7 linked regions of the Callithrix jacchus genome follow. The protein of the gene in region 2 binds, or shares a complex with, the protein of the main gene of each other region. Links are inferred from orthologs where the notes say so. Each region holds a gene or a part of one and is shown on either strand. Other genes may lie near its edges. The genes, in order: GRB14, HRAS, RASA1, MAPKAP1, PLCE1, RASGRP4 and SOS1.

Region 1 (3,648 bases), on a different chromosome or scaffold from region 2:
ATATATTTACGGAGAAATCTCTAAGTACCTTTCTCTCCACCTCCCCATGCCCATACGCACAGGGAGCTGTACAAATGTACGCATACTTACATTTTGCTAACCATGCCAATACAGTTTCATAGCCTTATAGTGCCATAAGCCTTAGCAGGTCTGCAGTAGCGGAACAAAAACCAATCAAGAGAAAAAACTCATCATGCTTCTTCTTCCAGTGTTCCTCAAGCTACCCTATACTCTCATTTGAATAACTGAACTATACTGAGTTCTACAGCATCAGTGGACAGGGATGGTTTTATTTTATCTTCATAGAAATCAGACATTTTTACTCTCAAATTAGTTTCTATCAAGGAATAAGATTTTAAAAGGCATGGCAATATGTGTACCTTTCTCCTTCCTCCTACCTTGTTCCAAGAGTCCTATGCTGGGTCTTTTTAAAACAATTTTCTGTCTTATTCTTGAAACTACAGTCATTCATTAGATTAAAATGCTTAAGAACAGTGATACACAGAGAGACTCTTGCTCTACCAGTTATCAGCAGTGGAGTAACACCAGTAAGTGACAATAAAAGGCTTTTGGTTTTCGGATTTGAATAGGATTGCCTGTTTGGCTCAATATTCTTCTGTGGGGTGTTTTTAAATATTTTTTATTGTTTTTTTTTAGCACTGCTCCTCAAATTTTAGTGCTTATGAATCACCTGGGATCTTGTTAAATGTAGATATTGATTTAGTAGGTCTGGGATGAGCCCTGAAAGTTTGCATTTCTAACAAGCTCCCAGGTGATACTGATGCTGCTGGTCTGAGACCACACTACTAGCAGCAAGGTTTTAGAGAACAAATGCGTTTTGGTCAGTTTTGATTATACATTCAACCTCAGAATTAAGCACTTCTCCAAGTTATTAACCTATCACAAAATAATACGACCTACTGATTTCCCATGACCAGTTTTAAATCTCATGGATCTCCCAGAGAAGAAATAGCTAGCTGTTCGTGATTCCACTTTGCCTTGAAAATCAGAAACATTCTGCTGCCAGCTAATTTCCCTGAACTCCTCTATCTGTACAGGCTTGCTTTCTTTCTTTCTTTTCATAAAGTTAGAGATTCCTGCAGTTGCTGCTTCCTGTGGTGTGTTGTGCTGTACACAAATGTGAGGGATATTGTGTGTGAATGAAGCAGGAATCATTGTCTTGTTCTTTTTTTTCTTCTCTAACTGCTGCAGAAGCTCAAACCAACCTTCTCCCTTTTGTTGAGCTACCATTATTTGAAACCTAGATAAGCAATACATGTCCCAAAGCCAATCTTTTCTAACATTTTTTTCTCTCTCAGATTCCTTGAAAGGGTGGTTAAAGAGAAATGGAAGTTTAAAACAGAAATTTATTTTCATTATTGGAAGTTAAATTATAAACAAAATTGTCACTTTCCAAATTAAATAAAATTGTATGCAGCTCCTGGTTAAAGATATAGTAACTTATATTTGTTTTTCTTCTTTTATTTTTGTGGCATCATACTGAAATTCTGTTAGGCATAAGTTTTTGCCCAAGGTATATATTATATAATAAAAACACACAAAAAATATAATGCAAAAATATGTATCAATTTCAATACTTTTTTTAAGGAACCGCGGCATTTGCAGTTTTTCACTGAATTTGGCAATAGTGATATTTATGTGTCACCGGCAGGCAAAAAAAAACATGGAGCACCGACTAACTATGGATTCTGCTTTAAGGTACAGGCTTAATATTTTGATAGATGAATAAAGCAAGCCTCAGCCTTGTAGGTAAGCTTGAGTTTCTTTTAATTTCTTTTAAAAAGAGACAGCTTTCTCTTATATATAAGAGAATTTTAGTGGCTTTTATTTCAACAGGTGTTACCTTCAAGATATGCATTAACGATAAACAATGTGCTGTGGCCTTCTAGCCTAACAAAGCGGGAGGGCCCCGAGACCTGAAAATGCTCTGTGCAGAAGAAGAGCAGAGTAGGACGTGCTGGGTGACCGCGATTAGATTGCTTAAGGTAATCTCGCTGGAGGCATGAATTTCTATTAAATGCTGTGAGTACCATAAAAGTTAGAAAATATCAGTTTTTCAGAACATGAAGTCTTACTGAGTGGCTACATGAGAAAAAAGTAAAATAACCACCAATGTGTGTGCTTTTAGCATTCTAAATGATAAACATTTTCAGAGTAGAGTGGAATAACCTAATACATTTCTCTTTTGTGTGTGGAGTAGGTGTTCCATTTCTAGAGATGTTCTGATTTTTATTTTTGTGAAGGTATTAGCCAGTATAACTGAATGAAATGTCTCCTATACATGACTTAGTCTGCATTCTTAAAACATTGCCTGTGATCCAAGGTAAAGTATAGTTTAAGATGTGCCCATCCTTGAGATATTTAATGTAACTGTTTTGTGTTCTATTTGTGTTATATAAATTGCTTTCTAGTTTAATAAGCATGACTCAAATTATTACACAATTTTACTTGAATATATTTTTTAAACAACTACTCTTGTGCTAAGTAGAAGTTACAACTTCCGTGAGCATAATTTGTTGCTGCTGAACAATTTTGTAATAAGTAACAATATTGTAAAAGTAGATGCACATAGGAAATAAAAGCAGAACTGATTTCTTCCAGAATGTATAGAACACACATTTAGTTTGGAAAACTATTTGCCAGTAAATTGAGCAAAACTTAAAATTCATATTTATAACAATTATCAATGATTTCTTTTTAAAGATACTGGTTTGGTATACACAATTAGGGAAGAAATTAAAAAATGTTTGTTGTTGTTGAAAAGATACAATCCAAATGTACCTATCCACATTAGTTAGTATCACTGCTGCTGAAGCCAAAAAAATACATATTTTATTGTTATTAAAATTTTGATTTATAATAAAAGCATTAACATATTCTAAGATACTTTTTACCATTTATGCCTAGGCATTAATGTAATTTGCCAATATATTGACTATCCATATTATATGTGTGTTATATATATATTCCTTTTCTCACCACAGGAAGATTTAGATTATTAACAATGTGTGGCTAAAACTAGCTTTTCAATATAGTTAGAAATGAAAATCAGAACAGTTGGAGCATTGTGAAGTCTTTAGGTTCCCTCGTCTCATTTACCCTGAAGAAGGGGATGCAGTAAATTTTTCAATAGATTTGAAGTTCTTGTATTTTCTAGGTGTGCTTTTTTTGTTCTGCCTTTGCCATTTTTAACTCTTCTGCTCTCTGTTATCATTTTCCTAGCATCCTACTTAAGAGAGATCAGAGTAAAGAAGGACAGAATAGTCATAATCAGAATTATTGTCATAGCAGGTTTAGAAGAAAGTTTTATTTTGTATTCTTGTAATTTCTTAACTGAGGCAAAATTCACAAAATATATAATTAATCAAACTATTGTTAATTTAAGTGATTCAGTGGCATTTAGTGCATTCAGTTCCAAAGCATTTTATTCACCTCAAAAGCAAACTCCACACCCATTAAGCAGTTACTCCCAGGCCCTAGCAATCAACAATTTGCCTCTGTCTGTGTGGATTTACCTATTGTAGATATTTCATATAAATAGAATCATATAGTATGTGATCTTTTGCTTCTGACTTTTGCTTAGCATAATGTTTTGTGGTTCACCAACATTGAAGCGTATATTAGCTC
Region 2 (4,136 bases):
AAACAGACCGGACGCCGCCTCTTGGCCGCGTCCACGCGCGTCCTTCCCCAGCCGGGCGCTGACTGCGACCGCGTAGTGGACGGACGACAGGCGGGACCCCCGGGACCCCCCGTGGGTGGAGCCCGGGGATAGCAGCGACCAGCGCGGGAGGGCGTGGCGGCGGGGCGGGCGCTAGGGCCCGGCAGAGGCAGGGTTTGCGGGACTAAACCACCCGCCCTTTTTTTTTTGGAGACAGAGTCTCGCTCCGTTGCCCAGGCTGGGGCGCAATGGCGCGATCGCGGCTCACCGCAACCTCCACCTCCGGGGTTTAAGCGATTCTCCTGCCTCAGCCTCCCGAGTAGCTGGGACTACAGTCAAGCGCCACCACGCCCGGCTCATGTTTTGTATTTTTAGTAGAGACGGGTCTTCACCATATTGGCCAGGCCGGTCTTGAAGTCCTGACCTCGGGTGATCCGCCCTCCTCAGCCTCCCGAGTGCGGGGACTACAGGCCTGAGCACCGCGCCCCGCCCGCCTGTTGTTTTTTATTGATGATGTGTTTCTAATTCCTTTGCAATGTTAAGAGATGTTAAAAACACGCCCTTTTGAGTCTGAAAGGAGCTGGGACGTGCGCTTTTGTTGCTTGGGGTGGGCCCCGGGCACTTCGCTCCCCGACGGCAATTCCTGGCTGCGGTTTAACTGGACCCTCAAGTTTGGGGGGACTGGGCGGGCAGGGTCGCCTCTCAGCAGGCCCAAGTTAGAGGAAGGCGGTGGAGGGGCCGTGATCGGGGTGGGCTGCGGGCGGACCAGGGGAGCCGGGGTGTGCACGGGGGAGGCGCCGAGCGCACCGCTCCAGCTGCGCGGAAGGGGAGCCGGGCAACCGGAGGGCGCGGCCTCGGGGGTCCCCAGCTCCGAGCGGCCGGCCCTGGTCCCGGTGGATCCCGGCCTTTTCTCAGCCCGGAGCCCAGAGACCTCCGCGGTGGGCGGCGCCGCGCAGGGAAGGGCTCGGAGCCACGGGCGCCGCTGAGTCGGGCTCTCTCACCGGCGTGTTCCTGGGAGAGTCCGGGGGTCCCAGACGCCGGCTCCTCGCCCTCCTCGTGCACCCCACAGCGCGGCTCCGCGCGCCGGTCGAGCCCACCCCAGCGAGGCCTCCCAGCGAGGCCTCGGTCCCCCTGGCTCCACCTCCCGCGTTGCTCCCGGAAGCCCCGCCCGACGGCGGCTCCTGACAGACGGGCCGCTCAGCCAACCGGGGCGGGGCGGGGCCCCCTGGAGCGCGGCCAATGGTAGGCCGCGTCGGGCTGACGGACGGGCGCGGGGCGGGGCGTGCGCGGGCCCGGCAGAGTCTTCGCCGCCCGCAGCCCGAGCCGCACCCGCCGCGGACGGAGCCCATGCGCGGGGCGAGTCGCGCGTCCCCGCCCCCGCCCCGCCCCGCCCCGGCCCCGGCCCCGGGGGCAGTCGCGCCAGTGAGCGGTGAGTGCGGGCGGGGGTCTGCCGGGCGGCGCGCTCTCCCCGCCCCCAGGCGGCGGCTCTACGCGCGGCGCGGGCCGGGGGCGCGGGGCTGGCGGGCGTGACCGGCTGCGGCGGGCGGGCGGGGGCCGCGGGCACAGGTGAGCCTGCGTCGGGGGCTGCGGGGGCGGGGGCGAGCTCGAACCCCGTCCTCCCTGGGGCTTGCGGGAGCCGGAGCCCCGCCCGTGGCCTCGCGCTGAGCGCGGTCCCCACGCCGGCGTCCCCTGGAGCCTCGGGCCCGGCGCGTCTGGGCGGAGGCGGCCACGGCCCGCCCGGGCACCCGCATTCAGCATCACAGGTCGTGGGCCAGGCCGGGGCCCTCAGCCCCAGGGCCTTGCCCCCTCCGGGGCTCCCGCGCCGCCTCTCGGCCCCTGTTCCCGGGAGCCCTGCCCGTCCGTCTTCTCCAGCTTTCTTCTGCTGGATGCCCGGGATCCCCGCCGGGGGCGCGGGGCGCTGCCCGGGTCTGCCCTCCCCCCAGCGGCACCTGGCACGCAGTAGGCGCTCAGCAAATACTTGTCCGAGGCACCAGCGCCGCGGGGCCTGCGGGCTGGCATTGGCTTGCCCGGGCACGCCGTGGCGCGCTCCGCCGTGGCCAGACCTGTTCCGGGGGACGGTAACCTCAGCCCTCGGGCGCCTGGCGTTAGCCTTTCTGCCGACCCAGCAGCTTCTAATTTGGGTGCGTGGTTGAGAGTGCTCAGCGGTCAGCCCTGCCTTTGGGGGCCGGCTCCCTTTCGCCTCACTGGGTCATTAAGAGCAGGCGGGGACAAGACGACACCCCCACCCGCGGGGTCGCAGCCGCGCAGGTAGGCACGCTGCTGTCGTTGCTGCCACCGCTGCCGCCCCAGTGTTGGGGCCCAGGGCCCTCTGTGGGTTTGCCCTTCAGATGGCCCTGCCAGCAGCTGCCCTGTGGGGCCTGGGCCTGGCTGAGCAGGGCCCTCCTTGGCAGGTGGGGCAGGAGACCCTGCAGCACCCCGGGCTGCAGGCCCTGAGGAGCGATGACAGAATATAAGCTCGTGGTGGTGGGCGCCGGTGGCGTGGGAAAGAGTGCCCTGACCATCCAGCTGATCCAGAACCACTTCGTGGATGAATATGACCCCACGATAGAGGTGAGCCTGGCCTCGCTGTCCAGGCCTCCACAGCCGCTGTGGGAGGGCCCAGAACACGGCCAGGATGGGGTGGCTGCAGCTCCTGGCCCTGTATGGTGGTGTGGGCCTGTCTCCTGCTTCCCCCAGAGGAGGGGAGCCCCTCATCTCAGCACCTCTGAGAAGGGGCATGCGAGGTAGGAGGGAGGGGCTGGCAGTGTGAATTCCCTCCAAGGAGGGTCCTGAGGGGGTCCCTGAGCCATGTCCTCCTGCAGGACTCCTACCGGAAGCAGGTGGTCATTGATGGGGAGACATGCCTGCTGGACATCCTGGACACGGCCGGCCAGGAGGAGTACAGCGCCATGCGGGACCAGTACATGCGCACTGGGGAGGGCTTCCTGTGTGTCTTCGCCATCAACAACACCAAGTCCTTCGAGGACATCCACCAGTACAGGTGAACCACGAGGCTGGCCCAGGTGGGCCGTGCCGGACGATGGGGGCCTCCTGTCTTCTCTGTGCTTGTCCTGGATGCAGCTGTGCCTGTAGCCCCTGCCAGCTCTCCCCTTTCGTCTCTCAGGGAGCAGATCAAGCGGGTGAAGGACTCAGACGACGTGCCCATGGTGCTGGTGGGGAACAAGTGTGACCTGGCTGCACGCACCGTGGAGTCTCGGCAGGCTCAGGACCTCGCCCGAAGCTATGGCATCCCCTACATCGAGACCTCGGCCAAAACGCGGCAGGTGAGCCAGCTCTCCACCCCGCTGCTAGCCAGGGACTCGCCCGCCCCGCCCCAGCCAGGGAGCAGCACTCACTCACCCCTCTCCCTTGACACAGGGCAGCCGCTCTGGCTCTGGCTCCAGCTCCGGGACCCTCTGGGACCCCCCGGGACCCATGTGACCCAGCGGCCCCTTGCGCTGTAAGTCTCCCGGGACGGCAGGGCAGTGAGGGAGGCGAGGGCCGGGGCCTGGGCTCACGCCCTGCAGTCCTGGGCCGACACAGCTCTGGGGAGGCAGAGGTCCTTGGAGAGAGCTGCCCTGAGCCAGGCCGGAGCGGTGACCCTAGGGCCCGGCCCCTTTTGCCCCATAGTGTCCCATGGGCATCCGTTGGTTCTGAGCCCTTAGTGGGGCTGCCAGGGACACTGCTCAGATGAGAGCTGGGTGCAGGGTGGTCAAACCCTGGCCCTGGAGTTCAGGAGGGTCCTGGGCCATGCTGACCTTTGAGGGAACTGCTGTATCGTGATGGGGGTGGCCCCGGGGGCTTCGAGATGATCAGAGCCCAGCTTCCTGTCTGTGTGGTGGGCCTGGGGACGTGGCTGGGGGAGTCAGGAGCATCGGGCCAGGCAGGGCTTGATCCCACAGCAGGGAGCCCCCCTCACCCAGGCAGGGGGCCCCAGGCTGGTCCCCCCTGATGCCATCCCTCTTTTCTCAGGGAGTGGAGGATGCTTTTTACACGCTGGTGCGTGAGATTCGGCAGCACAAGCTGCGGAAGCTGAACCCTCCCGACGAAAGTGGCCCCGGCTGCATGAGCTGCAAGTGTGTGCTCTCCTGACACAGGTGAGGTGTCTCCCAGAGCGG
Region 3 (3,648 bases), on a different chromosome or scaffold from region 2:
GCACCAATCTGATAGATGAAACAGTGATGTTTGTTTCTGGTGCATATAATAGAGGCATTTTATTTTTTAGGAGCCCTACATGGAAGGTGTCAATCCATTCATCAAAAGCAACAAACATCGTATGATCATGTTTCTAGATGAACTTGGGGTATGTATATAATTTTTAGGTACTTTAAAATTTATAGTTAGTATAGCTGAGTTAACCCACTTAAGCAGCAACCTTTAGAAAGATTTTTCCATCCAGAACTAAAAAGACAAAAAGCCTGCAAATTTTTGTCTGCCTTCCTAAATAAAACAGTGCATTTTTGTTTGTAATTAATAGTTAACACCAAAGCATACATTACTCTTGGCTTTTGGACTACTTTCATCATATTTTAGGGTCTGTCTTGCCTTTCATATCCTTTTAAAGCTATCATATCTGACTGCCATGACATTCTGTTGAGTCCTACTTTGCTGCTACTATGTGGGGCTTGAAGCAAGACAATGACAGAGTTCTGACCAGGTTAAATAAATAGACTGAAGAGTGTTCTTTTCTAGAATAAAAGACATGAATTTGGTGTTATGCTTCATTGAGTGTGAATACCAATGCCTCATTTGGGCCTTGTTAATAAACTGTGATTACAAAATTATGAATGAGGATATTTTGTAATTTCTAGGACCCTGCATTTCTTAAGTTAAATTTTCATGATTGTATTTTCAGGTACTGAGTCAATTTTAAGCCAAACTAAACTTATTAGTAATTCAGTTCATATAAAGAGAAACCAGGAAGGTACATGTACACATGAATAGAGCCAGGTATATGGCGTGGCATTAGGGAGTGCCAGGATTGGAGACTGGGGTGTCCATCTTCCATCTTAATGCATTCAGATTCAGTTAAAAAGACCACCACGGCTGGGCGCGGTGGCTCACGCCTGTAATCCCAGTACTTTGGGAGGCCGAGGCGGGTGGATCACAAGGTCAAGGGATGGAGACCATCCTGGTCAACATGGTGAAACCCCGTCTCTACTAAAAATACAAAAAAAAATTAGCCGGGCATGGTGGCACGTGCCTGTAATCCCAGCTACTCAGGAGGCCAACGCAGGAGAATTGCCTGAACCCAGGAGGCAGAGGTTGCGGTGAGTCGAGATTGTGCCATTGCACTCCAGCCTGGTAACAAGAGCGAAACTTAGTCTCCAAAAAAAAAAAAAAAAAAAAAAAAGACCACCACAACCATACCACTGTGGCAAACAAATCAGGAATGCATGTAGGTCACAGGTTTGCAACCTCAGGTATAAAAACAAGTATATGAAAAATTATGGCATAGCTCTATCTTTATTGTGAAATTGACAAAAATGCTATAAGTTCATTCTTCTATATGTGAACTGGGATATAAGTGGTCAATCATTTGAAACCATTTTTCTGTAATGTTTAAAAGGAGCTGTGTGAGAAATTATGCCAAACAATCTAGGATTTCATACTGCTTAGAATCCAAATATAATATTCTGATTTTTTCACCATCCATATAAACCAAATTCACTTTTGATGACCCACCTTGATTATTATCTCCTTCAGGAAGCTTTTGCTGAGCCCCAAAGATGAATAAAATTTGTAACTTTTGTTTTACCTCCTAAGTATCCCCTGCATACCTGCAATACATAACTCTGTTGCTACAGTTACTTTTCTAAAGGCCTTTCTACTAGAGTCAGCTCTCTGAAGGCAAACTTGGTGTATGTCATCTCTGTAATCCTTTACTTGAATCACTAAATGAGTGTATTCTGCATAACTGTTTATTCTATAGAAAATATTGTTTTGCAGTTTTTAGTAATGTTAGGCAAATATTGTCCCCATTTTACTGGTAACCCAAGCCTTTGCTAAATGTTATTCCAAGGCTTAAAGTAGCATTGGCATTTAGTATTGATAATGGTACAGGTTGAGTATCCCTAATCCAAAATCTGAAATGCTAAAAAAGCCAAAACTTTTTGAGCACCAACAGGAAAGGCTACTTGGAAGTTCCAATTTTGGATTTTTGGATTGGGGATACTCAGCTGGCAAGTATACTGCAGATAAATATTCCAAAATCCTAAACACTTCTAGTCCCAAGCATTTTGGGTTAAGTGATATTCAACCTATACGATAAACTTTAATTCTAGTGACTTAAGTTACTTTATGAACCTTATCTAAAAGTATCATAATTAACACTGATTATTCCCACATGTTAGCAAGCATTCTGAGCAGAGTCCACAGATAATTGCAAACCTGACATATTCTCATTGCATTTTCATAGTGCAGCTCCTACTTATATACAGATCAATTCGGACTAACTACAGGAGCTTAATAATGGAATTTAGTCTAGGAATTTTAAGTTTAGGTTGAATTTAATCCAGATTAACAGTTAACCTATACTATTTGGTATATGTTCTAGATTTCAGATATAAATTGTTATGAAGCCACACCCTCCACCATTATTTTTAGAATAGCAATAATATTGTACCATATCCTGCCATTCTGTGGAAGAAAATGGAATCTGGCTTTCATATGAATAGAAAGGTTACAGAGTTTATACCATAATCAATGCTGAATGTTTCAGTAAGAATCTTTAGAATTTTAAGAGAAATCTGAGAATTAAAAAAAATTATCTAAAATACCCGATTAGAATCTTTTCACATGAGACTATAAAGATTTGTATTCCTAACAAAAAATTAGCCAGGCATGGTGGGGTGGGTTCTTGTAATCCCAGCTACTCAGAAGGCTGAGGCAGGAGAATTGCTTGAACCTGGGAGGCGGAGGTTGCAGTGAACCATGATGATGCCATTGAACTCCAGCCTGGACAACAAGAGTGAAACTCCATCTCAAAAAAAAAAATAAGATTTTTATTTTTTGTATTTCTAAATGCAATTTTATGATTCCCTTCAAGAATGTGCCTGAACTTCCGGACACTACAGAGCATCCTAGAACTGACCTGTCCCGTGATTTAGCAGCACTGCATGAGATTTGTGTGGCTCATTCAGATGAACTTCGAACACTCAGTAATGAGCGTGGTGCACAGCAGGTAAGTGTTTGCCAGCCTTCATTATCAGCGACATTTCAAGGGTTAACACTCTTGAGAGGTAATAAACAGCTGAATTCTGGTTAACATTTTTATCTGGTTATATTAAATTTTTGAGACTCTGAATCATATAACAAAAGATCTCAGCAGACAGAAATAACAGGCCCAAACTAAAATGATGTACATTTAAAACTGAAAAACATCTGATTTTGCTCTTAAGTCTGAATGTTGATTGTATGGGAAAACATTGTTAATATACTTTGGTGGCATATGTGAAAACTGCTAGTAAGTCAGTATTGATTTTTTTTCAGTTTGTGTCTTCTGTCATATACAGATACAGTGCATAACCAAAGTGATTCTGAAATTGTGAAACAAATTACTATTATTTGGGATGTTTGTCAGATTTCACATCCAGAGATTCTGAAGCGTGGCCTTGAAAACTGCACTTCTAACAAACTCTTACAGGAATTTATAGGGATTCACATGCAAGTGACCCATGGCCTACACTTTGGGAAACAGTAGACTTACATAGACTTCTGTCTGCCATCTGCACTAACCAGATACAGATTAGGATGTATTCAAAGAGGGACTAGAATTTCAAGGGATTTAAAACCAGGTCAATT
Region 4 (4,243 bases), on a different chromosome or scaffold from region 2:
TTCAAGCCATTCTCCTGCCTCAGCCTCCTGAGTAGCTGGGACTAGAGGTGTGAGCCACCACACCTGGCTAATTTATGTAATTTCAGTAGAAATGGGGTTTCACCATATTGGCCTGGCTGGTCTCAAACTCCTGACCTCAAGTGACTTGCCTGCCTCGGCTTCCCCAAGTGCTGGGATTACAGGTGTGAGCCACCGTGCCTGGCCCCATGGCATATTTATTAGTGACTTTAAAATTGGGCAGGGTTCCCCCAGGACTGAAATTTAACCTTGATTTTTTTCTTTTACTATGGTGCTTTTTTTTTTTTTTGAGATGGAGTCTCACTCTGTTGCCCAGGTTGGAGTGCAGTGGCACAATCCCGGCTCGCTGCAACCTCGGCTCACTGCAACTGCTGCCACCTAAGTTCAAGCGATTCTCCTGCCTCTCAGCCTCCCAATTAGCTTGGATTACAGGCCCTCACCAGCACGCCCAGCTAATTTATTTATTTATTTATTTATTTTGGTATCTTTAGTAGAGACGGGGGTTTTAACCATCTTGGCCAGGCTGGCCTTGAACTCCTGACCTCGTGATCCACCCACCTTGGCCTCAAAAAGTGCTGGGATTATAGGTATGAGCCACCACCCCCAGCCACGCTACGGTGCTTTTTTGAGAGACTTCCCAGAGCATCTTTCGGGTGGGAGAACACTCTCACTGCACTGCCCGAATCCTTTTTCCCCCTTCACTGTGGCTTTCTCCACTGATTTCCTCCGTGAGAGAGAAAGAGAGCAGCGTGAGACAACACTAACTTCTGCCTGTGCCAGTCCTCCTGCATCTCATGGAAATCTCCCAGCAGGACCTGAGGAAGATTACTATCACCGCCATATTACAGGTATTATAAGAGAAATAACTAACATTGACTACATGTTTATTATGTATCAGGCACTGTGCTGGGTGATTTTCAAGCATCATCCCATTGGATACTCTAAAGTTGAAACTATTGCTCTGGATGGGAAAACCCGAGGCTCGGAGAGGAGAGTTGTCACGTCCTAGGACACACAGCAAGTTATAAGAGCTGGCATATCTGAACCTAAGTCTTTCTGATACAGAGGCTAAACTGCCTCATCACTCATTTCTGGACTAACTAAGGGTTTTTCTCCGTGGAAATGGGGAGAAAGAAGATTCGATGGAGAAGCGTAACACTGATTCCTGCTAAAGGCAAATCCAGACACGAGTGCATCTTGCCAGAATTCAGCCTCAGACTCAGGCCTTCTCCTGCATTGGAGAAGCGGCGCGCATGCGCCCGGCCTCCCTCCCGGCCCCGCCCCGCGGGAAGCTGTGGCCGCTTGCTTTCAGCTCTGGGGCTTGCGCACTACGTCCCCAGCCAGAGGCTCCTTCCCGGTCGGGGACTTCCGGAGCGCCGGGGTGTGGTTCCGGGTCGTGTGCGGCTTGGGGTAATAGGGCTGCTGCTCGGCCGGCCGGCGGCGGCGGTTGTGAGCACCACGGGCATGAGGGCGAACCCGGGAAGCGGCAGCTGAGCGGGCCGGGAGGAGCGCCGGTCCCCGTGGATCCCGAGAGTGCAGAGCTCGGGGAAGGGGCCGGGAGGCGTGGGGGAGCCGGGCCCTCCCCTCAGGAACGTGTCCCGGGGCCGACCCGGCCCGTAGTGTGGAAGCAGCTTCAGGTAAAGGTTGCCCCAGCCGCCAGCTCCCCGCTCGCCCGTCAGCCCACCAGCTTGCCCACCTGGCGACCCTCTCACCTCTCCGGTTTCGGCGCTGCTCAGCGGGCCGCCTGCCGGGCTCCTGCTCAGGTGGCCCGGGAGCATCCGTTTCCTGGCCTTTACCAGAACTGGGGACTGTCAGGAGTCTGAGGCGGGTGTGTGATTTAGGGGAAGGGAAGCCCATGGACCTGGTAGTGTTCGGGAGTAGCGGGGGCGGGGTGGGGAGGGTGCAGTTGGCTCCGGCAGTTTCTGGTCTTGCACTTGGCAATATCTAGGTGCCCTGGTCTTTATAATGTGAAAATCAAGGTTTTCAAGCATTGCCTGTGTGGTCCTTTTTCCTTGTGTCCCTTTTCCTCCTCGCCCTAAAGGGGTTAACAGCCTCGCAACTACAGTGCTGCTGAACTTTGATTCAATTGTTTGTTTATGGGAGTGGCAAGGAGTCCTTTAGATTTGTTTAAGGCGGGGGGAAAAGAAGAGCTTGTGGTGTAAACAAGAGTATGATTTTAACCAGAGACCCCCAAATCAACCCAGAAATTGGTTAAAATTTCCTTTTGAATGAGTGAAAAGTAACTTTTGAAGCCCACCACAGCTTCTGGCACTGTGCAAAGCACCATATTGTTATAAACCCAAATCGGCAAAGTTCAAAACTTTCCCAGGTGTGAACAGTCAAATGGAGACACATCGGTTTAAAAAAAGCAGCGTTCTCATTCTCTTGACAAGCAGAAGGGGTGGATTCCTAATGTTAAAACCCACTTGAGCAGAATGGGAGGTACCGTTTTATTCTTTATATTTTATGAGCCCATACAAGGTGCCTAGTAAACACTGAAAGAGTTCTTGATGAAGCAATAATTGTTTTCATGTTTTTCAGTTCACACAGCTGCGGGATGTGAAGCATGCTGGTAGCCCTTTCCCATTCAGCTGAGTGCTCATGCCTACTTTAAATACTGTGTGTACCAGACTGCACTTATATTCCCTTACATCTCGGAATCTGGCTCCTGGTTACCTTCCCAGTTATGCTTGAAAAGGTTTTCTTTTTTGAGAGGGAGTGTAGCTCTTGTTGCCAGGCTGGAGTGCAATGGCGCTCACTGCAGCCTCCGCCTCCTATGTTTAAGCAATTCTGCTGCCTCAGCCTCTCGAGTAACTGGTACAGGCGTGCGCCACCACACCTGGCTAATTTTGTATTTTTAGTAGATATGGGGTTCTCCATATTGGTCAGCCTGGTCTCAAACTCCCAACTTCAGGTGGTCTGCCTTGGCCTCCCAAAGTGTTGGGATTACAGGCATGAGCCACCGTGTCTGGTCAAGGTCTCCTTCTTTAATTACCCTACCTGATCCATTACTCTAAGTAGGATCTCAGTCACTTTTGTTCTTTCTTGTTCCATTGATTTTTTAGGACATTCTCCCTACCCTGCCTAGGTTTCCCCTTTTCTCTATCAAGATGCTTCCCACGGCTCAGCTGAAGTTGGCTGCTCTCAACCAATTCCCGACAACTCCAGCTGGAAATGGTTTTCCTACAGAATTCTATAAGCACTCATTTTATCTACAATTATTTAATTTAGTAAATGTTTACTAAGTATGGATATATACATGCCAGGTACCATGCTAGACAGTGTAGAGATAAATAAGATTCAGTCCTTGCTTCCAGGGAGCTCAATGTAGTGAAACAGAGATAAGGGAAATTAATAATTCTAACAGTGATAAGTACATTGTGTGAGAGTTCTTGTTGTGGCAGTGGTAGTCCAGGAGGGGAATGGGTTATTCACTTTTGAGGGATGGGATGTGGCCAGGTAATGCTTTATAATTTGAGGTAAACTCAACTTTGAGTATTTACTATGTATTGGGTATTATATAGGGATTTCTATTGTTTAATCATTTTAACCTCAATTTACAGATGAGGAAGACTCAATAAATTACACAGCTGGTACCAGACAGAGCCAGGATTCAAAGCCAGGTCTGTCTGATGCCTAAATCTGTGCTTTTTCCATTACATGTCTTGCCTTTGTCTCACACTGTCTCTTTGTGCAAGTAAATATTGAAACAAAAAAGTATACAGGATGAAACATATGAATGTTAAAATGAATGGTACAGAAATCTTTTAAATGCAAAGGCTGTGCTCTTCCAGGGCAAGGAGATGGCAGGTGGATTAGCTCAGCTTTGAATATGAGCAGAGAAGACAGTATAGAAAATAAGCATGGAGTCTGGATTCAATTCCCGGTCCCTGTTCTTACTGGATATGTGACCTTTGACACATAACTCCAAGCATCATTTTCTTCAGCTGGGGGTTGGGTTAGGGAATAATACCACATGGAGTGTTGTGAATATTTATTGAACTAACGGGGATAGAGGGCCTGGTACATGGTAAAGTCCCCCAAAATAAATAGCTATAAGATACAAAGGTATAATGCTTGAGGTATGGTTTTAGAGTGGTGAATGAGTTTACAGCCTGAGTCAAGCAAGTCATTGCTTCTTTTAGCAGGGTAAAGGATGGAAAGTTGGAGGGGCAGTAGGGGTCAGAGTTAGTGAGGGCTGAGTACTAGGCAAGAGAGGTAAATT
Region 5 (3,648 bases), on a different chromosome or scaffold from region 2:
TGTCAGGGTTTCTCAAGTGGTTGCAGTCAAGATATAGGTTGCAGGTACAGTAATCTGAAGTCTTGACTATAACTGGAGGATTCACTTCCAAGATGGCTCACACTCACATGGATGTTATCAAGAACCTTTCATACTTGTCACAGGGATCTCTCCTTAACAATATGGCAGCAGATTACCCTCAGAGCATGTGAGAGAGGAGCAGCAAGGAGGAAGCTCCAATGACTTTTATGACTCATTCTCAGCAGTCATGTACTGTTCCTTCTACCATATTCTGTATGTTAGAGGGAAATCACTAAGTATAACCCACATCCAAGGGGTGGGGAATTGGGCTCCACCTTTTGAAGAGAGGAGTATCAAAGAATTTGTGGACATATTTTAAAACCATCATACTATCTCGCAGCATTGAGTGAGAATTATGCGAGATAATAATTGCAGAGTTGCCAGGCACAATGGCTCACACCTGTAATTCCAGCACTTTGGGAGGCTAAGGTGGGAGGATTGCTTGAGCCCAGATGTTCATGATCAGACTGGCCAACATGATGAACCCCTGTCTTTACCAAAAAATACAAAAATTAGCCAAGCACTGTGCTGTAGTCTCACCTACTTGGGAGGCTGAGGTGGGAAGATCACTTGAACCCAGACTGGTTTTAAAATATGTCCACAAATTCTTTGATACTCTCCCTTCAAAAGGTAGAGCCTAATTCTGTTCCCCTTGAATGTGGATTATACTTAGTGATTTCCCTCTAACATAGAGAATATGGTAGAAGGAACAGTATGTGACTGCTGAATCCAGGAGGCAGAGGTTGCAGTGAGTAGTGATTGGGCCACTGTACTTCAGCCTGGGACTCTGTATCAGAATGAGACTCTGTCTCAAAATTATAATGATGATGATAATTGTAATGCTAACAAAAATAATTGCAACATCCTTAGGACAGGAACTAGACAGCACCAAAATGTTTTCCCTCTCTCCAACTTCAATTTATTTACCTCATGGGTAAGAAAGGACATATTAGCCATCAATCTGAAGGCTGTGGCCTGAAAAATCTCTTTAAAAATTAGAACAAATATTTGAATTCAAGTTAGTGCCATATGCCATTAAAGTTATCTATATAATTCTTCACCTAAGAAGTTGTTCATGGTATGCTTTGAATTTTTAAAGCAGGTACAGAACAGAATGCCCAATATTATCTGGTATTTGCATAGTTAAATACATATATCCCTATGTATGTTGATTCATAGGGAGTGTTCTGGAAGGAGGTTTCTTAAAGTAATGATAATAGTTATTGCTGTGTGGTAGGATTCATTAGGATGCTAAGCTAGGACACTGCTGCTCTGTGTGGGCTGGTTTATTCCCTGTAAAGATATGAATGCTAGAGTGTCCACTGATTTTTTTAGAGTAGTTGTAGAGATATGCATATACTGGGAGCCTCTCACCTGAGAAGCTGTGTTTGTGCTTGAGGGAAACATATGGAAGGAAAGAAGGGAGAGCTGATGACTCTTTGGGGAAAGAGGGTATGGGAGAAGAAAGGGAAAGAAAGATATCTATTTGACAAAGAGAAAAGGCAAGGCCAAGCTGGTGTTGACAGCAGAGTGTGACTGCTCATTATTTGTCTTGGGAGGAACAGCTTTACCTGAAAAAGAATGACATGCTTATGATGAGCACCCTCTAATCCCATAGTGTCTTGTATATCCTTTATAATTGTGTTTCCACATTGGATAGAAAATTGTTTTATTCCCTCTCTATTAATAGTTACAAGCAGTTCAGTTCTGTTAGTTACCAATTATTTCAGGTTTATATGTCTGGAAAATATTTTACTTAATTTTTATTTGCAGAAGATATTTTTGCTGGGTATAGAATTTGAAGTTGACAGTAGTTTTTCTTTCAGTACTTTGAAGATTTACTCCACTGTCTTCTGGCTTGCATTGTTTCTGATTAAATGTCTGCCACCATTCTTATCTCTGTGCCTCTTTACTTAATGTGCCTTATTTCTCTAGCTTCCTCGGCCTTCCTGAAGTCTCAACTTTTTCTTTTCTACGCAGGTAAATAGCTGGATTTTAGCTGAGTTTCCTTTTTCTACCTTGTAGCCTGGAAATTTTCTAAGAAGTAAGCCAGCCAGGACATTTTAGGACTCACTTCATTTTTTTTTTTCTTTCAGAGATCAATGTCTGTGTTGCCTGTTGTTCAGTGTCTGAGAACCATTTTTTTCTTAATTTTTATTTTTAGTTATTTAAGGTGGATGAATAAATCTGCCCTTGTTACTCCATTTTGGCTGGGAGCAGAAGTTCTAAAATATTAAATAAAAAAATAACTGCTAAAAACATAAAAACCAACTTCTGATTACAAAACAACCATTTTTCTCAAAATTTGTCTACATCTTGGGAGTGTGAGCTCATTTTTTAAAAAAACTCACTGAGTGACACAGTGGTTTGACATTATCTCTTTTCTTACAGGATGCAGGAATCATTCAAACTGGATTTTTAAATCATTGCAAGTCAATGATGTATCAGAAGTTGCAGAGTGCAAGCCTGAGTAACAGTCTTCAAAAAATTTTGCTTCAGATAACAGAGAAAAGAAAATTGATCTACCATCTTAAAACTCTGATCTAGAAAAATATATATTCATGATAAGAAGTTATAATTGAGAAAAATTATTTTCCTCTTAATGCACCTGAATGAAAGGAACTATCCCTTTGTTTCTTGGGAGGAGTTGTATGTCTAAGATTGTCATAATAATGAGTCATTTTATTAAAACCTTGACATGATCACCAGGGAAGAGAAATAGAGCAATAGCTGGAACCTGTGTGTTAGTCCAAGATGACTTCTGAAGAAATGACAGCTTCTGTTCTCATACCTGTGACTCAGAGAAAAGTTGTTTCTGCCCAGTCAGCTTCAGATGAAAGTAGTGAAAAGGTCTCAGATATCAATATTCCAAAAGCACATACTGTCAGACAGACTGAGCAGACTTCTCATACCATCTCACGACTGAACAAACTTAGAGAAGAATCTTCTGGAAGCAACTTGCCAGAGATTCTCTCAGTAGCAAGGGAGAAAATAGTGAGTGATGAGAACAGTAATGAAAAATGCTGGGAGAAAAGCATGCCAGATTCTGTGAAAAACCTTAACATTAACTGCAACAACATATTGAGAAACCATCAGCATAGCCTTCCTCAGAGACAGTTTTATGAAATGCGCAACTCTGTTGCTGAGGAAGACCTGTGTTTAGAAACTGGAATTCCTTCTCCACTGGGAAGAACGGTGTTCCCTGGAATTCAACTGGAACTAGACAGACCTCCCATGGACATTAGTCCTTTGGGAAATCAGTCGACGATCCTAGAGACAGACAGAGTACACCCTGACAGCAGCACGGCAGTATTTCATTTTCATTATGAAGTTGACAGAAGAATGTCAGACACTTTCTGTACCCTGTCAGAAAAGTTAATTTTAGATGACTGTGGAAATTGTGTACCACTACCCAGGGGTGAGGAGAAGCAAAAGAAAAACTATGTGGCATATACCTGTAAACTAATGGAATTGGCAAAAAATTGTGATAGTAAGAATGAGCAGTTGCAGTGTGATCATTGTGACACCTTGAATGAAAAATACTTTTGCTTTGAAGGCTCTTGCCAGAAGGTTGATCTGGTATATTCA
Region 6 (3,648 bases), on a different chromosome or scaffold from region 2:
TGTTTGTGGCAACACAGACCGCACTCTGGGGGAAGGCAGCAGTTAATGGGAAGGCAGCAGTTAATGGCCGGATGTCCAATCTGTGCCGTGCGTTCTTCCAGCCCGTGGGCCAAGGCTTCCCTCCCACTCGCTGATGCCCCACTCACCCCGACAGCGGTAGCCTTGCTTAGTGACACCCCAGAGCTGGGAAGAGAAACCAGAAAAGGTTACAGAGAGGGAGGGCTGTGGATTGGCAGGGCAGCTGGGGAGTGGAAGTGTGGAAGCTACCCAGGTTTTGAAATTCTCAAGGCTAGAGATTTAATTGTAATTAAAGGAATGTGGGTGGGGTACAGTTGGTTTATGCCAGTAATCCCAGCACTTCGAAAGGCCAAGGTGAGAGGTTGGGAGGCCAAAGTGGGAGGATCGCTTGAGTCCAGGAGTTCAAGACCAGCCTGGGCAACATAGGGAGAACCCTGTCTCTACAAAAAGATTGTTTAAATTAGCCATTAGCTGGGCATAGTGGCGTACACCTGTAGCCCCAGCCACTTGGGAGGCTGAAGTAAGAGGATCAGCTGAAGTGAGAGGAGTTGGAGGCTGCAATGAACCACGATCACACCACTCCACTCCAGCCTGGGTGACAGAGCAAGACCATCTTTCATCTTTTAACAGAATAAATAAAGGGAACTTGGAGATTATCTCAAGTTTAGAGAATCACCTAGGATATTAGATTTAGTTAAAATTTCAAGTTACTAAAATGCAATTTTTGTTTTGTTTTGAGACACAGTTTTGCTCTTGTTGCCCAGGCTGGAGTGCAGTGGCTTGATCTGGGCTCACTACAGGGTCACCATCCCAGTTTCAAGCAATTCTCCTGCCTCAGCCTCCTGAGTTCAATTGATTCTCCTGCTTCAGCCTCCCGAGTAGCTGGGAATACAGGCATGTGTCACCATGCCCGGCTAATTTTGTAATTTTAGTAGAAACAGGGTTTCTCCATGCTAATCAGGCTGGTCTTGAACTCCCGACCTCAAGTGATCCCAGCTGGCCTAAAATGCAAATTCCTTGGGCAGGAATTATCTGCTGTATTCCTACTTTATCCCCACAGCCTTAGATTGCATGGCACACAGGAGGTGCTCAGTAATTATTTCGTGAATAAATAAATGAATGTGGGAAGTAATCCAGGGTTTGTGAATTAGTCTCTGGTTAGAGGTTGAGAGACTGATCCACTAGCCAGAGTATGAAGATATCTTGAATTTGGAAATTATTCAGGGTTGGAATGAACTGGAGTCTAGAGATTTGGAGGATGATGCTGTTTGAACATAGTCCACCCAGTTTTGGAGATTATCCAAGTTTTTTTTTGAGACACAGTCTCCCTCTGTCACCCAGGCTGGAGTGCAGTGGTGCAATCTTGGCTCACTGCAACCTCCACCTCCTGGGTTCAAGCAATTCTGTGATCCCTAGTAGCTCAGATCATAGGTGTGCACCACCACATGTGGCTAATTTTTATACTTTTAGAAGAGACAGGGTCTCGCTACGTTGCCTAGGCTGATCTTGAACTCTTGAGCTCAAGCAATCCACCCACGTCAGCCTCCCATAGTGCTGGGATTACAGGCGTGAGCCACCATTCCTGACCTCCTATCTAGAGTTTTAGATATTATCCGTGATTCAGTGATTTTTCTGGGGATGTGGATTATCTGGGATTTGGGGATTCTCTGGCATTTGGAGATTATCCAGGATATAGGGAATGTCTGGTGTTTAGGGTTTATATGAAACAGGATAATTCGAGGCTGGAGGATTTCTGGAATTTGGGGGTTTTCTGGGGCTTGGGGCTGCCGGCTCCAGGACAGATGGAACCTAAGAGTGGTGATGAGGCAGAGTGCTCACGAAGCCACTGCAGCTGTCGCAGAAGGTAGGCTTGCGGAAGGTGACCTCATGGAAGGTGTGCAGGAAGGCCAGGCCCAGCTTGGAGCAGATGGCACTGGCCCGGAGCAGGTACCCCATCAGCTCCTCTCTGCTGAAGGAGCCTCTCCTAGGGACAGAAAGTGAGCCTCAGCATGACCGGCCCCAAACTCCCCCAGACCTGGGAGTCATCTTCGGGTGATCCAGGAGCCAGAACCACTCACCCCTGGCGTGGGGGTGGGTGAAGCCCATGGCAGGCGAAGGGAAAATTGCCTGAGAGCCGCTCAAAGTCCTCCTGAGAGATGGTTCCTCGGCCTTCAGGGTCGTAATTCTTGAACACGGACTTCAGAGGAGTGTGGGGAAGCAGGTAAGGCCCAGTCAGGGAACTATGCTCCCCAGGGCTGCAAGTCCCCACCTCCAGGCTCAGGGTTCTACAGATGTCTTCCCTCCTGGCTCCTGGTGGCCAGGCCACCCTCCCCTCCTCACCTCCACCAGCTGCTCCACGTGCCGACCCAGTGTGACCCTGTCCGGCTTGGATGTCACACCAGGGGCCCACTCCATCACCAGAGGAGCTTTGAAGGGGGAGGGTGGCTGGGGCAGGGACAGAGGGGCAGAGTTAGTCACTGCATAGGCTCAGGGGAGTTGGAAGTAATTGTAGGAGGGGGTCCCAGGTTAGGGATTGGGTCTCACCAGACTCTTGGGACAGCGTGGCTCCCGGGCATAAGAGAGCTCATAGATCTCGTCCTCTGTGTAGAAGAGGTCCAGGGAGAGCTGCAGCAGACAGGAGTATTACAGCTCCGTCTATCAACAGCCCCGCCCGGCCCCCACACCCATTTGCAGGCTCTTCTCAAAGCCCCTCCTGGGGTCAAATCCTAGCATTACTGCTGTGGGACTGAGCAAGTGACTCCACCTCTCTGGGCCTCAGTTTCCCAGTTCACGGAATGGATACAGTAAGGGTCCCAACCTCATAAGGTTGTAAGATGGAATGAGGCTCCTGGCACATAGGCAATGATGAATAATTGTTATTAGCCTTTTGCTTAGATTCTTGGATATGTCAAAGTTTGAGATTTGGGGTTATCATCATGAGAAGCTCAGAACCTTGGGATTTAGGAATGTGAACCCCAGGCCAGGCGCGGTGGCTCATACCTGTAATCCCAGCACTTTAGGAGGCCAAGGTGGGCAGATCACCTGACATAGGGAATTCAAGACCAGCCTGACCAACATGGAGAAACCCTGTCTCTATTAAAAATACAAAATTAGCTGGGCATGGTGGCACATGCCTGTAATTCCAGCTACTCCGGAGGCTGAGGCAGGAGAATTCCTTGAACCTGGAGGCAGAAGTCGTAGTGAGGTGAGACTGCATCACAGCACTCCAGCCTCGGCAACAAGAGTGAAACTAAGTCTCAAAAAAAAAAAAAAAAATGTGAACCCCACAGCAATTCCAGAGCTCAGATCAATGGACAGTTGAGTCACTAGGGGAAGTGGGGAAGAAACATGTTACTTATATAGTAACTTATCTGCTCCATATACTGTCTTTTTTTTTTTTTTGAGACGGAGTTTCGCTCTTGTTACCCAGACTGGAGTGCAATGGCCCGATCTCGGCTCACCGCAACCTCCGCCTCCTGGGTTCAGGCAGTTCTCCTATCTCAGCCTCCCGAGTAGCTGGGATTACAGGCACGCGCCACCATGCCCAGCTAATTTTTTGTATTTTTAGTAGAGACGGGGTTTCACCATGTTGGCCAGGATGGTCTCGATCTTTTGACCTCGTGATCCACC
Region 7 (4,118 bases), on a different chromosome or scaffold from region 2:
GAACATTTCTCATCTACGTGATCCTGGCTGTTGTTCTTAGGAATAGCAGGACACAATGTCAGCTTCAACCCAAGCTAGTTCCTCTAAACTGCATTCTTATCGGTGAAATGAAAATAATAGGGTTGCTATGGGGATTAAATCAGATGATACTCCAGAAGTGATCATTAATGATAAACCATGAGGTGTCTGCCACAAAGTGCCACTATTATAAACAGTGGCCTGGAGGGACAGTTTATATATACCGGTCCTTTAGCATTCCACTTTCACTGAGTGCCTGTTCTGTGTGGAGGACCTGGTGAAAAAAATCTGCCTTCCAGTTTATTATGTAGTTGAAAGAACCACAAAAGATACAAAACACTATAGACCAAATGCCCTGAGAGAGGAATAAGTGCAGTGTTCTGGGAGCTTTAGAAGAGGTCTCAGTATCCATTGGAGGAAAGTGCTTATTGGAATTCATATTTGGAGAGGGTTGAAAAGATGAACAAATGCAATCTAACACACACAGAAAATCAATACTACATGTACACATTTTATTCTTGATGACGTGGAAAGACCAGTTAAAAACACTGCGATCACTTCTATTGCCCAGCAGATACTTAGCAGTAGGTTTCGAGACAGAGCACCTGTATATTTTGTCCGGTCTGTTTACTATACATTGCGTGCTGGGCAGTCCTTATCTTTGTGTTCGGGAACAAAGTACACACGCCCCTTTCCGAAACGAAAGGCCCAGGGACTCAGAGAGGGGTAGGAGCCCTCACGGCTAGACCACACAGTGGGGGCTTCTTTACCGTAGTTCTTACCCCCTCTGCAGGCCCCACTTTGCCAGGGTTCGATTTCTCGGGCCCTTTCGCCCCTCCTCAGGAGTCCCCAGGAGCGCAACCACAGCCCGGTCAGGCGCCCTGCCTCCCTTCCCCACTCCCCCCGCCCCCAGCTTCCCTCCTCCTTCACCGGGAGCCGGAAAACCCGGAGCGAACCAGCCCAGCCCGGCAGCGCATGCTCAGTAGCGCGCAGGTTCAGTTTGCTAGTAGGAAGCTCCAGCGCTACACCGGCGGCGGCAGCGGCGGCACCTCAGGGCAGCCAGATTCCCCAACAACGACCTCGGGTCCTTCCCCTTCCCCGCGAAACCCCCTCCCCCAGCTCCGCCCCACCCGAGGGCTCTTGCGTTTCGGAGTCTCAACTGCGCGGAGCGGGCGCCGCGGCCAGAGCGTCCCTCCACACGTCCTCCCCCAGCCGCCAGCTCTGCCGCGGGGCCAGGCCGGACCCGGGAGTGCAGCCCCGGCAGGCGGCGGCGGTGTAGCGGGCCGCCCGGGGCGGCGCCGGCGGGCCAGGGAGGGGCGGGGGGGCCTGGCCCCGGGGCGGTGGTGCGGGATGCCGCCGCCTCCGGGTCGCATTCGTTCTCCACGGCTAGTACCCGTGTCGGGTGGGTGGCTGGGCGTGGGCCTCGCCCTTCAGCCCCCTCGCCAGGGCTAGCCCGGCTGCGCGGCGCCCGGAGGGGGCCGGGCCGTCCGGTGGGGCCGCGGCCCTATTCCGCGCAGCGAGCTCGCCCTCTCGCGGCTCCCCGGCCGGGCCGCCGCCGCCCCTCTCCCCGCCCAGAGGCGCCCTGGGGGCACCATGCAGGCGCAGCAGCTGCCCTACGAGTTTTTCAGCGAAGAGAACGCGCCCAAGTGGCGAGGACTGCTGGTGCCTGCCCTGAAAAAGGTGAGGAGCACGCCGGACCCCGCTTCCCGGCCGCAGCCCCCCAGCGCGGGCGCCGAGCAGGCGCAGGGGAAGGGCTGGGGAGGCGGGGCGCGCGCGCAGGGCCGTCTTTCTTCCCTGTCTCGCCGCGTCTCCGAAAGGACGGCGCACACGGGGAGGTCCCCCACACGGCTGGCTCTCAGTGTTGACATCCACCCGTAGTGTGGGAAGGCCGCGGGGAGCCGCGGGCAGTTGCTCCGAATAATCCAACCCCGAGAGGTGAATGCTTTGCCCTTTGATTCCGAGACAACGGTTGGAGAAGCCTCAGTTTTCAGTGGAGGTCAAAGCAGGCCACTTTTCCGCCTTCTCGGTCTTAGCCCGGAGCTGTTGTCAGCCTCATGTTTTAGGTGTCCAGTATGCTCGTTTTAGTGGCTTGAGAATGCCCTGGCCGTAACGCTTGCTCTAAGGAATTGCGAGCTCGCCTGCCAGCAGGAGCGTGGCCTGCTCCGCTCGTCCTCAGTAATCACTCTCTGTTCTCCTGATCTCCCCTGCTCCTCGGATTAACAGGGGCTGGTGCACATGCTACCAATTTCAGGGGTTTTGTTTTGTTTTTGCGGCATTCGAGATTCTTGGTGCTGTCATTTGGCTTGTTAAGAATTTTTAGTCTTTGTATGTTTAAGTTTGCTGTGTTTTTAAATGTTTTAGTATAATTAGGAAATGTTACATTTTTAAAGCTTCTAGAGCAACAGTGTACTAGACTATTTTTGTTTCCTTTTCTTCATTTACCTTTTCTACAAAGATTGCTTTACTCATCTAAGAGTGTTTCTAAATCTGTTTCTTGCTGCTCGAAGACTCTTTCATGTTAATTAGTTAACATATAGTTTTGCTTCTACTAAGAATGGAGATTATGTTGTACCTTTTATGCTAAGCATTAAAAGGTGTCTGATAGTGCTTAAAGGCCAGTAACTTTTACTTTCCCCTTTGCCCTGTTCTCTTGTCCCTCTTGCTATCTTACAGTGGAAACTATTTGGTTTGTTAGGAGAATTTGCTTATGTATTTCTGACTTAAGTTACTGACATTTTCCCCTTCAGGTGTCTGACTAGTCACGAACACCTATGTGATTTTTCTTTTTTTTTTTTTTAAAGAAAACCAAAAAGATGCCATATATCCTTTTCTTTTCTTTTTTAAATAAGATGGGGTTTCACCATGATGGCCAGGCTGGTCTTGAACTTCTGACCTCAGGTGATCCACCCACCTCGGCCTCCCAAAGTGCTAGGATTACAGGCGTGAGCCACTGCACCCAGCCGCCATATGTCTTATGTACTTTAATCCTTAGAAATCCCGTCAGGTTCTCACTACTTACTTTTGCTTTACCTGCAAGTTTGACTTCTTAGCGTGTAATGGAAGGGGTTTAGGAGGTCTCTGTGCTGCCAGAAGCTGATGTCCAGGTAGGGTAAGGGAAGACAGGGAAATTGTTTAAAAACCTGTAAAGGAACTCATAAAGCATTGCCAAATAGGGGCCATTTTGCTTAGAGGCAAAAACAGCTCCTATCCCGGGGGAATCACCAAGCTATCAGCTTAGGATCTTTTGAAGTAGTGGAAGAATACTGTAGGAGTTGACAGACCTTGTTTAATTCTGCCATGCTGGTGGCCCTTGCTGAAATCTGTCCCTAGAAGCATTTTGTTTGGCTGGCACAGTGTTGTTTTATTTTTAAATGTAATTAGTTGCTGGCATTTGAAAATGGGAGATATTACATAAAATCTGAATTTTCAGCTTTTCTTGAAGAATAGGAAGTTCTTGCTAGTTAGGGCCTGTATTCCAGCAAGGCACTAAACTGCTGGAGGTGAGTAAATGGTTGTCCTCTTTAGACAAGGCATGTATCTCCACCTTACCACAACCCCCACTTGTCCTCTTTGTTTATTTACGTAAACCAACTTTTGAATTTAAGGTAGAGATACTTTTGCAGTAAGTGATAGAAGAAGGTGGAAGTATACATAATCTAGCTAATGTGTAAGGTTCTTCCAATTCTTAAATAGCCAATAACTATGATTCTAAGACAAGATTGAAAATACAGTGTATTTCATATCTGGATATGTTGTCCGTAGCTCCAAACCTACATTTTTACCTGCCTGCTGGACATTTCATGTGGATATCTCCATATCTTGATTTCTTTTGATTCACTATTGAATTATTTATAGATGCATCCAACTTGTGCTCTCTTACTCTTACCTGAGGCTCTTTGGACATGCTAGTCCCCTCACCTTTCTTTGCCTGATCCAACACTACTCATCCTTCTAGACTTACTCAACCTGGACTATCACATCAGGGCTGAGTTGGATATTACTCCTTTGTTTTCTTTTCGCGCCCCATCCTAGCTGTGTGAGTTTTAAGTTCCTATTTACTTGTCTATAACTAGATTGGATGCTGTTTGAGAACAGGGATA

The links.
Region 1: the proteins of HRAS (region 2) and GRB14 are in contact, whole or in part, in a crystal structure (PDB 4K81), measured with the Homo sapiens proteins. The link is inferred for Callithrix jacchus from reciprocal best matches to the Homo sapiens genes HRAS and GRB14. Residues at the interface, in NP_001123914.1 of Homo sapiens: Glu31, Asp33, Pro34, Ile36, Glu37, Asp38, Ser39, Tyr40, Arg41, Tyr64, Met67; in NP_004481.2 of Homo sapiens: Val109, Lys111, Asp116, Glu117, Thr118, Ser119, Arg120, Ala121, Leu122, Asp123, Lys140, His142.
Region 3: the proteins of HRAS (region 2) and RASA1 are in contact, whole or in part, in a crystal structure (PDB 8BOS), measured with the Homo sapiens proteins. The link is inferred for Callithrix jacchus from reciprocal best matches to the Homo sapiens genes HRAS and RASA1. Residues at the interface, in NP_001123914.1 of Homo sapiens: Gly12, Gly13, Ser17, Ile21, Gln25, Asp30, Glu31, Tyr32, Asp33, Pro34, Thr35, Ile36, Glu37, Asp38, Ser39, Tyr40, Arg41, Gln61, Glu62, Glu63, Tyr64, Ala66, Met67, Lys88, Lys117; in NP_002881.1 of Homo sapiens: Gly746, Arg749, Glu783, Thr785, Thr786, Arg789, Ala790, Thr791, Glu799, Lys803, Ser833, Arg894, Gly898, Phe901, Leu902, Arg903, Cys906, Pro907, Leu910, Asn911, Met914, Arg928, Ile931, Ala934, Lys935, Gln938, Asn939, Asn942, Val944, Ala948.
Region 4: the proteins of HRAS (region 2) and MAPKAP1 are in contact, whole or in part, in a crystal structure (PDB 7VV8), measured with the Homo sapiens proteins. The link is inferred for Callithrix jacchus from reciprocal best matches to the Homo sapiens genes HRAS and MAPKAP1. Residues at the interface, in NP_001123914.1 of Homo sapiens: Gln25, Asp33, Ile36, Glu37, Asp38, Ser39, Tyr40, Arg41, Leu56, Glu63, Tyr64, Met67; in NP_001006618.1 of Homo sapiens: Glu277, Ser278, Phe280, Ala286, His287, Gly288, Phe289, Ser290, Leu291, Ile292, Gln293, Arg311, Arg312, Lys313.
Region 5: the proteins of HRAS (region 2) and PLCE1 are in contact, whole or in part, in a crystal structure (PDB 2C5L), measured with the Homo sapiens proteins. The link is inferred for Callithrix jacchus from reciprocal best matches to the Homo sapiens genes HRAS and PLCE1. Residues at the interface, in NP_001123914.1 of Homo sapiens: Ile24, Gln25, His27, Val29, Glu31, Asp33, Ile36, Glu37, Asp38, Ser39, Tyr40, Arg41, Glu63, Tyr64; in NP_057425.3 of Homo sapiens: Phe2138, Pro2146, Glu2147, Gln2148, Pro2149, Arg2150, Thr2151, Val2152, Ile2153, Lys2154, Lys2171, Tyr2174, Ser2175.
Region 6: the proteins of HRAS (region 2) and RASGRP4 are in contact, whole or in part, in a crystal structure (PDB 6AXG), measured with the Homo sapiens proteins. The link is inferred for Callithrix jacchus from reciprocal best matches to the Homo sapiens genes HRAS and RASGRP4. Residues at the interface, in NP_001123914.1 of Homo sapiens: Glu3, Gly12, Gly13, Gly15, Ser17, Ala18, Ile21, Asp33, Pro34, Thr35, Ile36, Glu37, Tyr40, Arg41, Asp54, Leu56, Asp57, Ala59, Gly60, Gln61, Glu63, Tyr64, Ser65, Ala66, Met67, Arg68, Asp69, Gln70, Arg73, Thr74; in NP_733749.1 of Homo sapiens: Tyr228, Gly232, Val234, Val244, Asn248, Ser251, Asn288, Met291, Ala292, Gly295, Gly296, Cys298, His299, Ser300, Leu327, Ala328, Ser329, His330, Asn331, Asn332, Tyr333, Ala334, Arg337, Leu351, Gly352, Val353, Leu355, Lys356, Val359, Ser360.
Region 7: the proteins of HRAS (region 2) and SOS1 are in contact, whole or in part, in a crystal structure (PDB 4NYM), measured with the Homo sapiens proteins. The link is inferred for Callithrix jacchus from reciprocal best matches to the Homo sapiens genes HRAS and SOS1. Residues at the interface, in NP_001123914.1 of Homo sapiens: Gly13, Gly15, Ser17, Ala18, Thr20, Ile21, Gln25, Asp30, Glu31, Tyr32, Asp33, Pro34, Thr35, Glu37, Tyr40, Arg41, Asp54, Ile55, Leu56, Asp57, Thr58, Ala59, Gly60, Gln61, Glu63, Tyr64, Ser65, Ala66, Met67, Arg68; in NP_005624.2 of Homo sapiens: Glu589, Lys602, Trp809, Thr810, Lys814, Leu822, Met824, Ile825, Arg826, Thr828, Thr829, Thr832, Glu836, Asn869, Leu872, Val875, Ser876, Asn879, Ser880, Ser881, Tyr884, Ser908, Asp910, His911, Tyr912, Lys913, Leu916, Phe929, Phe930, Gly931.

The regions. Positions count from the first base shown.
Region 1 is NC_133507.1:65,136,474-65,140,121, forward strand, and holds part of GRB14 (growth factor receptor-bound protein 14), read left to right. Parts: intron 1-1,608; coding exon 1,609-1,719; intron 1,720-1,910; coding exon 1,911-2,006; intron 2,007-3,648. UniProt on the Homo sapiens protein: Adapter protein which modulates coupling of cell surface receptor kinases with specific signaling pathways. Binds to, and suppresses signals from, the activated insulin receptor (INSR). Potent inhibitor of insulin-stimulated MAPK3 phosphorylation.
Region 2 is NC_133511.1:131,356,636-131,360,771, forward strand, and holds the start of HRAS (GTPase HRas), read left to right. Parts: upstream 1-1,315; 5' UTR 1,316-1,447; intron 1,448-2,192; exon of another isoform or gene 2,193-2,286; intron 2,287-2,429; 5' UTR 2,430-2,478; coding exon 2,479-2,589; intron 2,590-2,840; coding exon 2,841-3,019; intron 3,020-3,142; coding exon 3,143-3,302; intron 3,303-3,396; exon of another isoform or gene 3,397-3,478; intron 3,479-3,990; coding exon 3,991-4,110; 3' UTR 4,111-4,115; intron 4,116-4,136. UniProt on the Homo sapiens protein: Involved in the activation of Ras protein signal transduction. Ras proteins bind GDP/GTP and possess intrinsic GTPase activity.
Region 3 is NC_133503.1:123,489,821-123,493,468, reverse strand, and holds part of RASA1 (ras GTPase-activating protein 1), read left to right. Parts: intron 1-70; coding exon 71-148; intron 149-2,893; coding exon 2,894-3,028; intron 3,029-3,108; exon of another isoform or gene 3,109-3,648. UniProt on the Homo sapiens protein: Inhibitory regulator of the Ras-cyclic AMP pathway. Stimulates the GTPase of normal but not oncogenic Ras p21; this stimulation may be further increased in the presence of NCK1.
Region 4 is NC_133502.1:174,287,688-174,291,930, reverse strand, and holds the start of MAPKAP1 (target of rapamycin complex 2 subunit MAPKAP1), read left to right. Parts: upstream 1-1,396; 5' UTR 1,397-1,655; intron 1,656-3,581; 5' UTR 3,582-3,641; intron 3,642-4,243. UniProt on the Homo sapiens protein: Component of the mechanistic target of rapamycin complex 2 (mTORC2), which transduces signals from growth factors to pathways involved in proliferation, cytoskeletal organization, lipogenesis and anabolic output.
Region 5 is NC_133513.1:86,752,824-86,756,471, forward strand, and holds part of PLCE1 (1-phosphatidylinositol 4,5-bisphosphate phosphodiesterase epsilon-1), read left to right. Parts: intron 1-2,451; 5' UTR 2,452-2,814; coding exon 2,815-3,648. UniProt on the Homo sapiens protein: The production of the second messenger molecules diacylglycerol (DAG) and inositol 1,4,5-trisphosphate (IP3) is mediated by activated phosphatidylinositol-specific phospholipase C enzymes.
Region 6 is NC_133523.1:33,998,065-34,001,712, forward strand, and holds part of RASGRP4 (RAS guanyl-releasing protein 4), read right to left. Parts: intron 2,644-3,648; coding exon 2,563-2,643; intron 2,464-2,562; coding exon 2,359-2,463; intron 2,216-2,358; coding exon 2,097-2,215; intron 2,003-2,096; coding exon 1,858-2,002; intron 184-1,857; coding exon 147-183; intron 26-146; coding exon 1-25.
Region 7 is NC_133515.1:75,898,228-75,902,345, forward strand, and holds the start of SOS1 (son of sevenless homolog 1), read left to right. Parts: upstream 1-1,175; 5' UTR 1,176-1,611; coding exon 1,612-1,698; intron 1,699-4,118.